Linked DNA regions of Daphnia pulex. The protein of the gene in region 1 interacts with the protein of each later gene in a pairwise test. Links are inferred from orthologs where the notes say so. Each region holds a gene or a part of one and is shown in the gene's direction. Other genes may lie near its edges.

Evidence for each region. The genes of interacting proteins can lie anywhere in the genome.
Region 2: the proteins of DNA repair and recombination protein RAD54-like (region 1) and DNA repair protein RAD51 homolog A-like interact in a two-hybrid assay, tested with the Caenorhabditis elegans proteins (3 studies listed by BioGRID). The link is inferred for Daphnia pulex from reciprocal best matches to the Caenorhabditis elegans genes rad-54.L and rad-51.

What each region holds. Positions count from the first base shown.
Region 1 is NC_060022.1:2,885,412-2,891,237, forward strand, and holds the start of DNA repair and recombination protein RAD54-like, read left to right. Parts: upstream 1-2,329; 5' UTR 2,330-2,454; coding exon 2,455-2,457; intron 2,458-2,524; coding exon 2,525-2,740; intron 2,741-2,809; coding exon 2,810-3,009; intron 3,010-3,075; coding exon 3,076-3,145; intron 3,146-3,201; coding exon 3,202-3,396; intron 3,397-3,473; coding exon 3,474-3,692; intron 3,693-3,770; coding exon 3,771-3,932; intron 3,933-3,999; coding exon 4,000-4,261; intron 4,262-4,332; coding exon 4,333-4,495; intron 4,496-4,563; coding exon 4,564-4,762; intron 4,763-4,844; coding exon 4,845-4,942; intron 4,943-5,019; coding exon 5,020-5,128; intron 5,129-5,222; coding exon 5,223-5,386; intron 5,387-5,449; coding exon 5,450-5,648; 3' UTR 5,649-5,826. Other genes in the region: pre-mRNA-splicing factor 38A-like, read left to right, coding at 1-143.
Region 2 is NC_060026.1:14,857,443-14,863,450, forward strand, and holds DNA repair protein RAD51 homolog A-like, read left to right. Parts: upstream 1-1,873; 5' UTR 1,874-2,389; coding exon 2,390-2,482; intron 2,483-2,581; coding exon 2,582-2,719; intron 2,720-2,785; coding exon 2,786-2,995; intron 2,996-3,062; coding exon 3,063-3,313; intron 3,314-3,383; coding exon 3,384-3,471; intron 3,472-3,548; coding exon 3,549-3,670; intron 3,671-3,735; coding exon 3,736-3,859; 3' UTR 3,860-4,171; downstream 4,172-6,008. Other genes in the region: protein maelstrom homolog, read right to left, coding at 1-138, 215-302, 376-567, 636-905, 972-1,111, 1,176-1,322, 1,381-1,582, 1,660-1,800; uncharacterized protein LOC124204007, read left to right, coding at 5,171-6,008.

The sequences.
Region 1 (5,826 bases):
AAAGAGGCGAAGATCGTGACAAGTACAACAACAAAAAGAAAGATAGCAAAAAGAGTAGCAGTTCCAGTGCTGCCATCGATCCTGAAATTGCAGAAGCGAATGCCTTGCGAGCTAAGTTGGGGCTGGCTCCTTTGCGACCGTAATCTGCTGTCTTTTTTCTAATCGTTTTGTAATAAACACTCTTTTCATTTCCTTATTATTCCGAGGTCTATCTGATTCTTTATTCTTATTTCTTGTGTTGGATGTGCAGACTTCAACTTAGACAAGAACTTAGGATTCTTCCTAAGTGAGACGGTGTTCGTTATTGCAAATGTAAAAGAGTCAAAAACAAGGTAAGTATTAGCTGATCCCAACAGACATTTTAAACACAAATTTGTAGATCAATCATCATTTTGACACTACTATTTAATGTTGACCCCGTTTTCTGAATTCTTTGTAAAATGGCGAAAAAGTTTATATCTGTTCACGGATCCCGAAAAACTATTATTGCCCTCGGCGCGCAGTAATGACTTCATGATTGGCTGGTGCACCAGTATGAATTTATGGTGATTTTTATTTTTTGAGATAATTTTTCCAAAATTTCCTTTCGTTAAGAACTTACGAAGCATCAGCCGTTGCAAGAATAACAATCAGAAAAGGACTTGTTCCTCATTTGAAATTTTTCCTATTATTTTTCGTCACTTACAATTTTTCCTCAGTACCGTAGTTACTAGTTAGGCTAAAGATCTCGTAGTCTCGTCCTATAAGATAAAAGCTCAACACGGATTACGGTACTACGGCCTCGGAGATGCAGACGACACCAGCTTCCAATCCTTTTTAACGTGGTCTGACTAAAATTTAAATGATCTGTGATGTGTGGGATCTTCATGGTTTCTTTTCTTTTACTGGAACTGGACATCATTTTTCCAGCTATAAAATGTATTGCCATTAGATCACTCGTTGGCTAAAAACTATGTCCACTAGATGGTGTAAGTGTCTTTGATAGAATCGAAATTCCACCATTTTTTTTTCTAGACACTGAGAGAAGATGTAGATTGCAGATGTAGACAAAAAAAGACCGAACGCTACCTCAGAAAGTATCCTAGAAAATGAAGAGAGTTCTTCGAATCCTTTAGTTATCGAAAGGGGAATGTACACACCACATAATTTCTTCGAAGGCGGTGCAGTGGAGTAGTAGTTTCTCCAGGACGCTGTCTAGGCAAAGTACCGATGGTTCTCAGATAAACTTAATAGAGTTCCGACGGCCTGCCAGATCAGGTGCAAGCTGCAGAAACGGTGTATATATGGCTTGAAATCCGGTTTATTATTTATTGCAAAGTACCTTTTCGAATTGGTTAAAACCTGTCGAATAAATCAAACGGTTATTGGATAAAACAGATCTAAGTAAAATGTTTAATATCTACCAGCTTCTTGAGGAAAAACCAGGGGCTTTGTTCTTAGGTTGATTGATGGTCCCACGTTTGAAACACCAAACAGCGCGAAATATTACCTGTTATGGCTGTTATGAGCCTTCGAAAGAAAAACAATTTGATGTAATAAAAACAAGCACAAATAAACAACCAAACATAATGCAAAAGCTAAGAAAATATTTAAACACAGTTAATCTAGGGGGAATTGAATAGGGGAGTTGTGATACCTTAAGGACTTGAGGAAACTGAGGTAGAATATTTTATAGGACAGCATGGACTTCCTTTTTAAAAACAAATCAAATGTGTGTTTGCTGTTAACTTTGAATGAACCTGTTGGAAGATGGAAAAAAATAAAGTTTTACTCGAATGGAATAACAACCAGCAAAAGATTCTCTATTTTAATTAGGAAAATAAATAACATGTGTTACCATTTTCCCACCTGGTGAATTCTTAATTTGCTATCGCCTCCAAAATCTAAATTGAGCTTGGATGATGTTTCAGTCAATTCAATTCGTGAAGTGGACAATCAAAAGAAATCCTCTTACACAAATCGGAACCGGAAATCACCTGAAATTGCAGTGCATCATTAATTTCCAATTTTAGATTTTGGTCTGTAAGCTTTGTTCATCCTTCTGTTCTCTGATTAATAAGAAACAAAACTGAATTAACAATAGTTTCTATTATATCTGGTACTGTGGTTAAGTACTTGGTTATCTCACATAATAACACTAACAAGTTAATGACGACACGATTTTCTGGAAACTAATAACGAGTCGCCTCGCCTCGCCTCGCCGTTGAACGGGTTGAACTTTTTTCGACCATCCTCTGCAAAGACTACTGACAGAATGCGCCAATGCGGACAGCTTAAATATTTTCGCTTGAAAGCCCATCTAGTGAGACATTCGACAACGTCACAAGCAAAAGAAACCCTTTCGAGTAATCATTATTAGAGTAACTGCATAAGCACGATGCATTCACCTTTGTGTTTGTATTTTTAAGGCGCGATTCAACACGAGAAAGAGAACAAAGTGAAGGGATTAATAAAATGGTTTGTGATGAATTCTTCTTGAATTTTAACATTTTTGTTATATTTTTACTCAATTTTACAATGATAGAGACGGAGTTTGGCCCCAAGTCAGTTGGTTCAAGTTAAACGAAAATACGATGAAGATGATGACCCAGCTTGGTCAGAAAAGAAGAAAGGAGGCAAGAATAAGAAGACACAAATAATAGACAGAGCTTCAGAGTTTCTTTCTCCATTTCGTAAACCACTTGCTCAATGTAGTCTTCCAGTTGAAACCAATTCGGAAATGGCTGGATCGTCATTCCATGTAAAACATTAACTATAATAGTTACTTAACTCTATTGCCTCAAAATTATAGCTATTAACTATTTAACAGGAAGAACTTATCAAAAAGATTATGTCAAAGCCATTCAAAATACCAATACCAAACTACAATGGGCCAACCCTTAGCAAATCACTTGGAATGAGACGAGCTGGAGTACGACAAGCTTTACATGACCCAGATGAACCTGGTGCTTTGATTTTATATTCCCCTCCAGAACTGTCTGCTCATGACAAGCTGAAATCATCCATAAGGTACAATATTAAATAGTTTGAAAAGACTGGGGGATTAAATTTTCACATCTTTAAATTTTTTGTTAGTGATAAACATCCTGTTCATGTTGTTGTTGATCCAGTATTGACCAAAGTACTTAGACCTCATCAACGTGAAGTAAGTTCCACTTATGCTGCTGTAATTCTGGTCTTCTATTAATTTTCTATTGCTAGGGAGTGAAGTTCATGTATGACTGTGTCACTGGTCTATGCATTGAAAACAATTATGGTTGCATTATGGCTGATGAAATGGGATTGGGGAAAACTTTGCAGTGCATTACCCTGCTTTGGACACTACTCAAACAAGGCCCAGACTGCAAGCCCTTAATTTCAAAAGGGATCATTGTCTCACCTAGTAGTTTGGTCAAGGTGCATTGATTCAATGATCACTTTAATAATTCACTTTGAAATTTATTAACTGCTGTATTTTTTTTTACAACCAAAAGAATTGGCAGAATGAAATCAACAAGTGGCTAAGTGGACGAGTCAATACGTTGGTGATAGACTCTGGAAGTAAAGACGAAATTGATCGCAACTTGAATGGATTCATACACACACACGGAAGGCGAGTCGTCACTCCTGTTCTGATCATCTCCTACGAGACATTTAGACTTCACGCCCACGCCCTTCTCAAGGGAGAAATAGGACTTGTTCTTTGTGATGAAGTACACTTACTCATAATTAAGATCATTATCTGGCGCGAGTCTCTTATTCAACTAACAACCGTTTGTTCGTCTCGTTAGGGACATCGTCTGAAAAACAGTGAAAATCAGACATATCAAGCTTTGGTTGCATTGAATTGCAAACGACGTGTCCTTCTTTCCGGAACGCCCATTCAGAACGATTTGCTGGAGTACTTTAGTTTGTTACATTTCGTTAACCAAGGCATTCTTGGCACTGCTCAGGTGATTCAAGATAAAAATGAGATCCTTAACTAATAATAATGACAACAAACACATTTTCTTTTTGCAGGAGTTTAAGAAACGGTTCGAGACGCCCATCCTTCGAGGTAGAGACGCTGATGCGACGGAAGAAACTCAGAAGAAGGGTCAGACACAATTGAAAGAATTGGCCGATCTAGTCAATAAATGCATCATTCGGCGCACATCCGCTTTGCTGACCAAATATCTTCCAGTCAAAATTGAATTGGTTGTTTGTATTAAGCTCAGTCCTGTTCAGGCGTCCATTTACAAGAAGGTCGTAGCATCCGAAGCTGTCAAGAGCAAAATGAGGGGTAAATATTATATAAATTAAAGTACATGATTGATTAAATATTTTGTTGCTGTCCTGCTTAAACTTAAATAGAAGCCAATGAGAAACCGAGCAAATCGAGCATGACTGCACTGGCAGCCATCACCAATTTAAAGAAACTATGCAGTCACCCGGAATTGGTTTACGAAAAGTGCCAATCGGGCGTTGACGGATTCGAAGGCACTCTGCCGTTATTTCCTGCCACCTTCGATCCCCGGTTAGTCCCACACCATTCGTTTGCGACAGTAGAAAAATCTATAACCTCGCTGCTGATTTGATCGATAGAAAACTGCAAACCGAATTGTCCGGCAAGCTCTGCGTCCTCGACTGTATTCTGGCTATGGTGAAAAGCACTACCAACGACAAGATCGTCTTGATTTCCAACTACACTCAAACTCTAGATTTATTCGAGAAACTTTGCCGAATGAGGTCTTACCCGTGCGTACGCCTGGACGGCAGCATGAGCATCAAGAAGAGAGCCAAGGTACACAGACAAATCAAACCAGTCTTAGTTCTTAATGAAGTCGGGTCAGGAAGGACTGTTAAGTACCTATTTTGCATTTCAGATTGTGGAACATTTCAACGACCCAGCCAGTTCAGATTTTGTCTTTTTGCTCAGCAGCAAAGCCGGTGGCTGCGGATTGAACTTAATTGGAGCCAACCGGTACTAATTGGTTAATGCATTCAATTTAGAATGTAAGATTATTCACAAAAAAAAATGTTGAATTACTTTCGCACAAGGTTGGTGATGTTTGATCCGGACTGGAATCCCGCCAACGACGATCAAGCTATGGCTCGTGTTTGGAGAGACGGACAAAAGAAACCCTGTTTTATTTATCGCCTGTTGTCCGTAAGTATTTCTACCCAGAAAAAACAGTCGCAAATTGGACGGTTCTAAAGCAAATAATAACAAAAATAACTCGGTCGATTTAATGAAACGACAGACTGGAACCATTGAAGAAAAAATTTTCCAGCGTCAAGCCCACAAAAAAGCACTCAGCTCCTGCGTAGTAGACAACGAAGACGACGTGGAACGCCATTTCAGTCTGTCGGATTTACGAGATTTGTTTAAATTGGAAGAACTAACCTCGAGCGATACTCACGACAAGTTGGCATCATACCAAAATTTGGAATCAGACATTCATTCAAAAATATCTTTTTTTTTTAACAGATTCAAATGCCGTCGCTGCGTCAATCGGATCCAAGTCAAACCGCCACCGGATGACGCGACTTGCAATTCGGATTTGTCTCAATGGAATCACTGTGCGGATCGCAAAACCATTCCGGATCCTGTTCTCAAGTCTGCTTGGGACGCTGGAGTCACGTTCGCCTTCCATCAAAAATCCCACGAGCCTAAAATTGTTCCTTGAATCTTTCAAACAACAAAGAGAAAATCTTCCGCAGACGAAAGAAGTTAGTTGCAAATGCTCTGTGATTTTTCAGTTTTATGTTTTTTTAACTTACACGAGTTCTGTTGTGCAAAACACTGTAAATGTACTTTGCATTTTCCCCCCTTGAATACGAAATTGTTATAAAAGAAAACCAGAT
Region 2 (6,008 bases), on another chromosome or scaffold:
CGCGGCCGCGACCTCTTCCAGCTGGGGGTGCCGTTTCAATTGCTCGCGATCGACCTGGCGATTGAGTGGCGGACGAAACAGGGCCCATCGATCCGCCCAAAACGCCACGCCCTGTTCCAGGACCCTTGAAATTGGCAGCTAGAGTGAACGGGTAAAGGAAATATCTCTGAACATGGCCATTTATAGATGCAACAACAATTAAAAATTGATTTACTGGCAGGAGTGTTGGGCAATCGTGGTGGACCGGATGGTTCTCTGTCATCTTCCTCCTCCTCCTTCTTCTTCTTCACTTCAACCGGTGCCTAAAGGGCCGGAAAGATCACACATTAGCCTTTCCTTTCAACTCTCATGCAAATTTTCATGGGATGAAATTACCTCCGGTTCTTCCGTTTCAGTCACTTTGGGCATTACGACATATTTGTTGTCATCAGCAATTTCAGAAGGGCAGTGGCGATTAGGCAGCAGAGACAAGTCATAGTACTCGCAGCACAAGTCGGAAATCGTGTAGGCGTAGTTGCGCACCCGCGTTAGCGAACAAAACGTTACATTGTCTTCTTCCACATGCCACTGTGCAATGACGTAATTCAAATTATTTTAGGTCAAAGGGATTATTATTAGCCATTGGAAATTTATACCTGGCAGGCCATATTTTTGCTGTAGAAAAACATTCCTTTGCCAAAGTGTTCGGCCACTAGCGCAATGCTGGAAAATTTCAACGTCGAATTGTTCACGTCGGCCTGGCGACGCAACTCGTAAAAGAGTTTGTTCAAACTGTAGATCTTGAACGGGCTGCACGTCTCGTACGAATCGTCCAGTTGGCAACTCTTTTTGACTAACCAGTCCACTATATAAATCGCTTTCGCGTTGTCTTCGTCGACCACGAATAAAGGAGCAATCCCGCCATCCTAGGATTATGTAAATTTTTGTTAATAAAATTATTTACTAAACTCCTTAATTAAAGGGAAGTTTACTGGTTGTTTGAGCATTTCCTTGATGTTATTCGTAATGTTAACATAATCTGAATTGGCTAGTTTGAATCCAAATGTTGGGATATTGTGTGTGTTTTCAGAGTGTAGCTTGGCTTCGTGGGCATACCCCAGTCGGATTTGACCTGTGAATTCATAAAACAATGGTGTAAAGCTTGATACCCAAGTAAATTTGGTAGATGAAAATACCAGGTTCTACAAAGTCATGGTAACACTTAGCTATCCCATCCAGAAGCGAAAACTTCACTATAGCGATTTCACATGGAGGGTACTCTCCCTCACTGGTAGCGACAGCAATGTTGAAATGTGCCAGATAAAAGTAGTGATTCTCGAGAGCTAGAAATTGTAAATATTGAATGTGACGGGAAAAAGGCATTTTCGGATGAAAGCGTACTTCCTTGAGTAGCAAAGTATGAAATCATATCTTCTACTTTCTGCAGAAGATGGTCTTTTTCCGATATTTTCTTTTGCTCTTCTTTTTCCTTCCAATTTAATGGAACTCCCCGAGTATCACATCTTTCTTCTTTGATAAAAGTAGTACCACCACCATCTTTAGCTTTTTTATGGTAGCTTGCCTTTTCTTCAGGTGACAATTTCTGTGAATTTAATTAAGTTTCACTTTCATTAATATTAATGTTAACAGAATGACGTATTAACAACACAAATTCCTTACATTCCATAACGGAGAGCACACCGGAATAACGTCAGTCAAGCCTCTAGGAAACTTATGTCCCTTGGCTTCTAATTGTGGTTTCATAGATTTCATGAATACCATGAAACCATTATCTTTTTTTTGTTTCTTCTTCGGGGGCATTTCACTTATTTAAAAAACGAATATGTAATGTGGGAATTAGTCGAATATTAGTCGAAAGTCGAGTCGTCAAGAGTTCAGCCGCGAAAAAGTAGATGCTCTCCCATCAGGTTTCCCGCCTGACCTACCAGGTATTCTGCTCTGGGATTCTGACGTAAGCGCTTTATTTTAACCCCGCAATCACCAATTAGATTTAAAGATTATAAAACTAAATCATGTTAAATAATAAAACATAAAATAATTTTTTATTTTAAAATTTTAATCAAGTATATTCCTCTTCCATATATTACCAGATATTACAAAAATGGGAAAACTTTTTGTCCATTAGCACGCTCATTTGAAACAAATCTGGCAAGGTTGATTTTTAAATACAGGCACTATTTGTTTTTGCCGCTCGAATGTTTCGTTGTGTGAACGTTTCACATGTGATCACTTCGTTTTGATAGCTGAGACTGATTGAAACTGAAACTCTTCCGAAACTGATTAATTGAGTCGAGAAGCTGAATCACACAATTGTTTTTCATTGACATATTCTGCTTTGCAACAGTGATTTCTTTAATCATTAGCTTATCATAAGCTATTAATCAGTACGATGGCTACTGCACTTCGAAATCTTAATGAAGAAGAAGAAAATGTCGTCGAAGCTCTCGAACAAACTGTTTTTTCAGCAATCAGTAAACTTGAAGTAAGAATGTTGAAACAACAGACACTCAATTTATAAATGCAAACTCATTGTTTAATTAGTAAACACATAACAATTCATTTCAATTTTCAATACTTCCAGGGCAATGGAATTAGTGGTGCAGATATCAAGAAACTGCAAGAAGCGGGGTATCACACAGTTGAATCAGTAGCCTATGTCCCTAAAAAGACACTCATGACCATCAAAGGAGTCAGCGAGGCCAAGGCTGATAAAATCATTGTAAAAAAATATTTCATGTAATTATCCATTAGCTCTTGTTAATGTTTCCATCCTCACAACTCTCAGGCCGAAGCTCAAAAAATGGTTCCCATGGGTTTTTCTACTGCCACAGAGTATCATCAAAAGCGTGCAGAGCTCGTTCAGGTTACTACAGGATCCAAAGAGCTTGACAAATTGCTTGGGGGTGGCATAGAAACAGGGAGTATCACAGAAATATTTGGAGAGTTTCGTACTGGAAAAACTCAATTGTGCCTAACTCTTGCAGTCACCTGTCAAGTAATAGATATTTCAGAAGTTCACCAATTCAAATTCTAATAAGTTTTTATCCATTTTAACTTTTTAGTTGCCCATTGACAGTGGAGGAGCTGAAGGAAAGTGCTTGTACATCGACACTGAAGGAACCTTTCGTCCGGAGCGTTTGTTGGCTGTAGCTGAACGATATGGCTTATCTGGCTCAGATGTTTTGGATAATGTAGCTTGCGCCAGAGCTTTCAATACTGATCACCAGTCACAGCTTCTGATCCAAGCCTCTGCCATGATGGCCGATTCTCGTTACGCTCTTCTCATTGTCGATTCCGCCACAGCTCTTTACAGGTAATCCTCAAAAGGATCTTTCTTTCTTCAAAGACATGTATGGCATGCAAACATTCTTTTATCTTCCTAGGACCGACTACTCGGGAAGAGGAGAACTTTCCGCTCGCCAAATGCATCTCGCTCGTTTTTTGCGCATGCTCCTTCGACTTGCAGATGAAGTACGTGTATACTAGACGTCGTAAATAACCATTCAAATTTTCTTAAATCACATTTGGTTTTTTATGTGTTTTTAAAGTTTGGCGTGGCAGTGGTTATAACCAATCAAGTAGTTGCTCAAGTCGATGGTGCTGCAATGTTCGCCGCTGACCCAAAGAAACCCATCGGTGGAAACATCATGGCTCACGCGTCTACTACTCGGTAAGTTTTCACTTGTTGTTATTTGCATCCCTTTGCCCTGACAGTAACAACTTTCCTTTCTGTAGACTTTACTTGCGCAAAGGTCGTGGAGAAACCCGAATTTGCAAAATCTACGACTCACCCTGCTTGCCAGAGTCTGAAGCCATGTTCGCAATTTTGCCCGATGGCATTGGAGACAGCAAAGAGTAAACTGCCACAGAAGGGACCGTCCTCCGCTACAGGTTATTACCCCCTTTCTTGTAAACCCTTTTATGAATTCTCCGTTTTTAGTTGTTTAAAAAGTTTCGATTCACCATCGCCCCAGAAATATGAATTTGTCTTGTGTTTATAAGTAGGTGGGAAATCGAAAAAAAACGTCAGTGTACATGTAACTGTATGGTTTACTTGTAACTTTAAAATATCTTACGCAATCTACCCTGTTCGCATTCTGTTCAACATTGTTCTGAGATTATCAGTGGCAATTACTGCTTGAATTTGAATACAAATATTTTTTTTTCTCAATTTAGGACTTATTTCTTGTAGGAATTAGCCCGTAACAGATTTAAAACGGCAATCGGTCGTATTTGAACGAATTAAATTTTATAGTAGACGCGCAGATAATATTCAAACTCGACTGTTTCTTAAACTAGCATATTGGGGTCAGTCTGTTTTAGAAAATCAATGGCAAGACTTGCTGACTTTTCACTTGTAACCTCGACATGACATTCAAGTGCGACGTGCGCAGTTTTGACGAAATGTTTACAACGCTGGCGAGTGGCGACGGAAGATAAAATTCATATCAAACCACAGTATCAAAGACTCGTGAGTATCATTTTCGAACATGTATTTATGTTTGGATTTTCCCATCATTTTAAAATATTTAAAAGAAATAGAATAAAATAAAACTGCCACTTTAAATTGGCCATCTCTAACCGACTGAGGAAAAGAGTGGAGAATGCTGTGGGCCGTTTGTTTTTAAAAATAGGCCGGCGAATTGTGCGACAAGATCAAACTGCTATCGAAAATGCAGCGCTGGGCGGTTGGTGAGTATCGGATCAAAGAACGTTCTGTACAAAATTGATTTAAATTTAAAATGTGTGAGCGCTTGAGATTAATCTAAAGTTACTGAATGTAATATTTTATACATTTTATATTTGTATATTTTATTGGTGTTGGTATATTATCTTGTTTGAAAGAATCGAGAATCATCTGTTTGTATACTCGGAGTATGTTCTGTTTATAAAACCTTGGCGGGAATATTGGATGACATTTCTGATTTATCAAAGTCTACACGACGCTGGACTTCGAAATCGGGAACCCGACACACTTGCTTACGCAATGTCGAAAATTTGGAAAAACCCATTCCAATGAATCTGCCTAATTTTGCTGTATGAATACGCAGTTATTCGTGAATTCCCGCTCAGTTTGAAACGTACGTCAAAGTGCCATACAACGAAATTTAACCTGTTCCCCAGCCTCATCTATAAATTAATTCTTTTCAAGTTTCTTTTTCATTCTTGGATGGAAATGGCTACGAAATCGATTGTAAGGTACATTTTCACCATTTTATTTGTTTCGGTCATTTGCTGCAACTGCCAATCAAACAAAAACCCCAAAACAAACAACCCCGGCGGTTCATCTTCTTGGGCGAAACTGCAAATCTCAGCGGACACGTTAAGTTCCATGAATTACGGCAACTTTCTCATTGAAATTTATGAACACGCCAATAATCACAAGCAAACGACAACAGCCAGCCAGAAAAAATATTTCTACGCTCCCATTGCGCTGCTGGACCACACAAGTGCCGTTAGTTCTTACAACAATGTCACGAAACAATTAGAGATGAGATTTCGTGTAGAAATGTGGAACGACAAAGTCCAAAATGAAGTTGTGAAACATTTAAATGACATTGTCGGTCATGAAATCAAATCAAACAGAGTGACAGTCATTCCCTTGGAGAAGGTCATTCTCGCCAACAAAATACCCACAACAGATTATTCGCCATCGCCAGTGTGGACGAATTATGACAAGAGCAAAACCATTTGGTTTTATATGTCATGTAATGACCGGAAAATCTGCGACGAACTGGCCAATCAAATGCGATCGAATCCCAATCAATTTGACCATTTGAAACTCTTGTACAGTTTGTCATCGCAGACGTCACAAACAAAACAGACGACCATCCGCATCGATAGCCTCACTTCCGGTCAAATGGTCTCGACTCTTTTACAAAAATTTGAAAACAAAAACGAAATTTTTCTGACGGCCAGTGACGAGAAGAAAATGTTGACGGAAACGGCCACCAACATTCGAATGGACACATTTGACGACTACGAGGTCGGGTCGCCTGATACTGAAC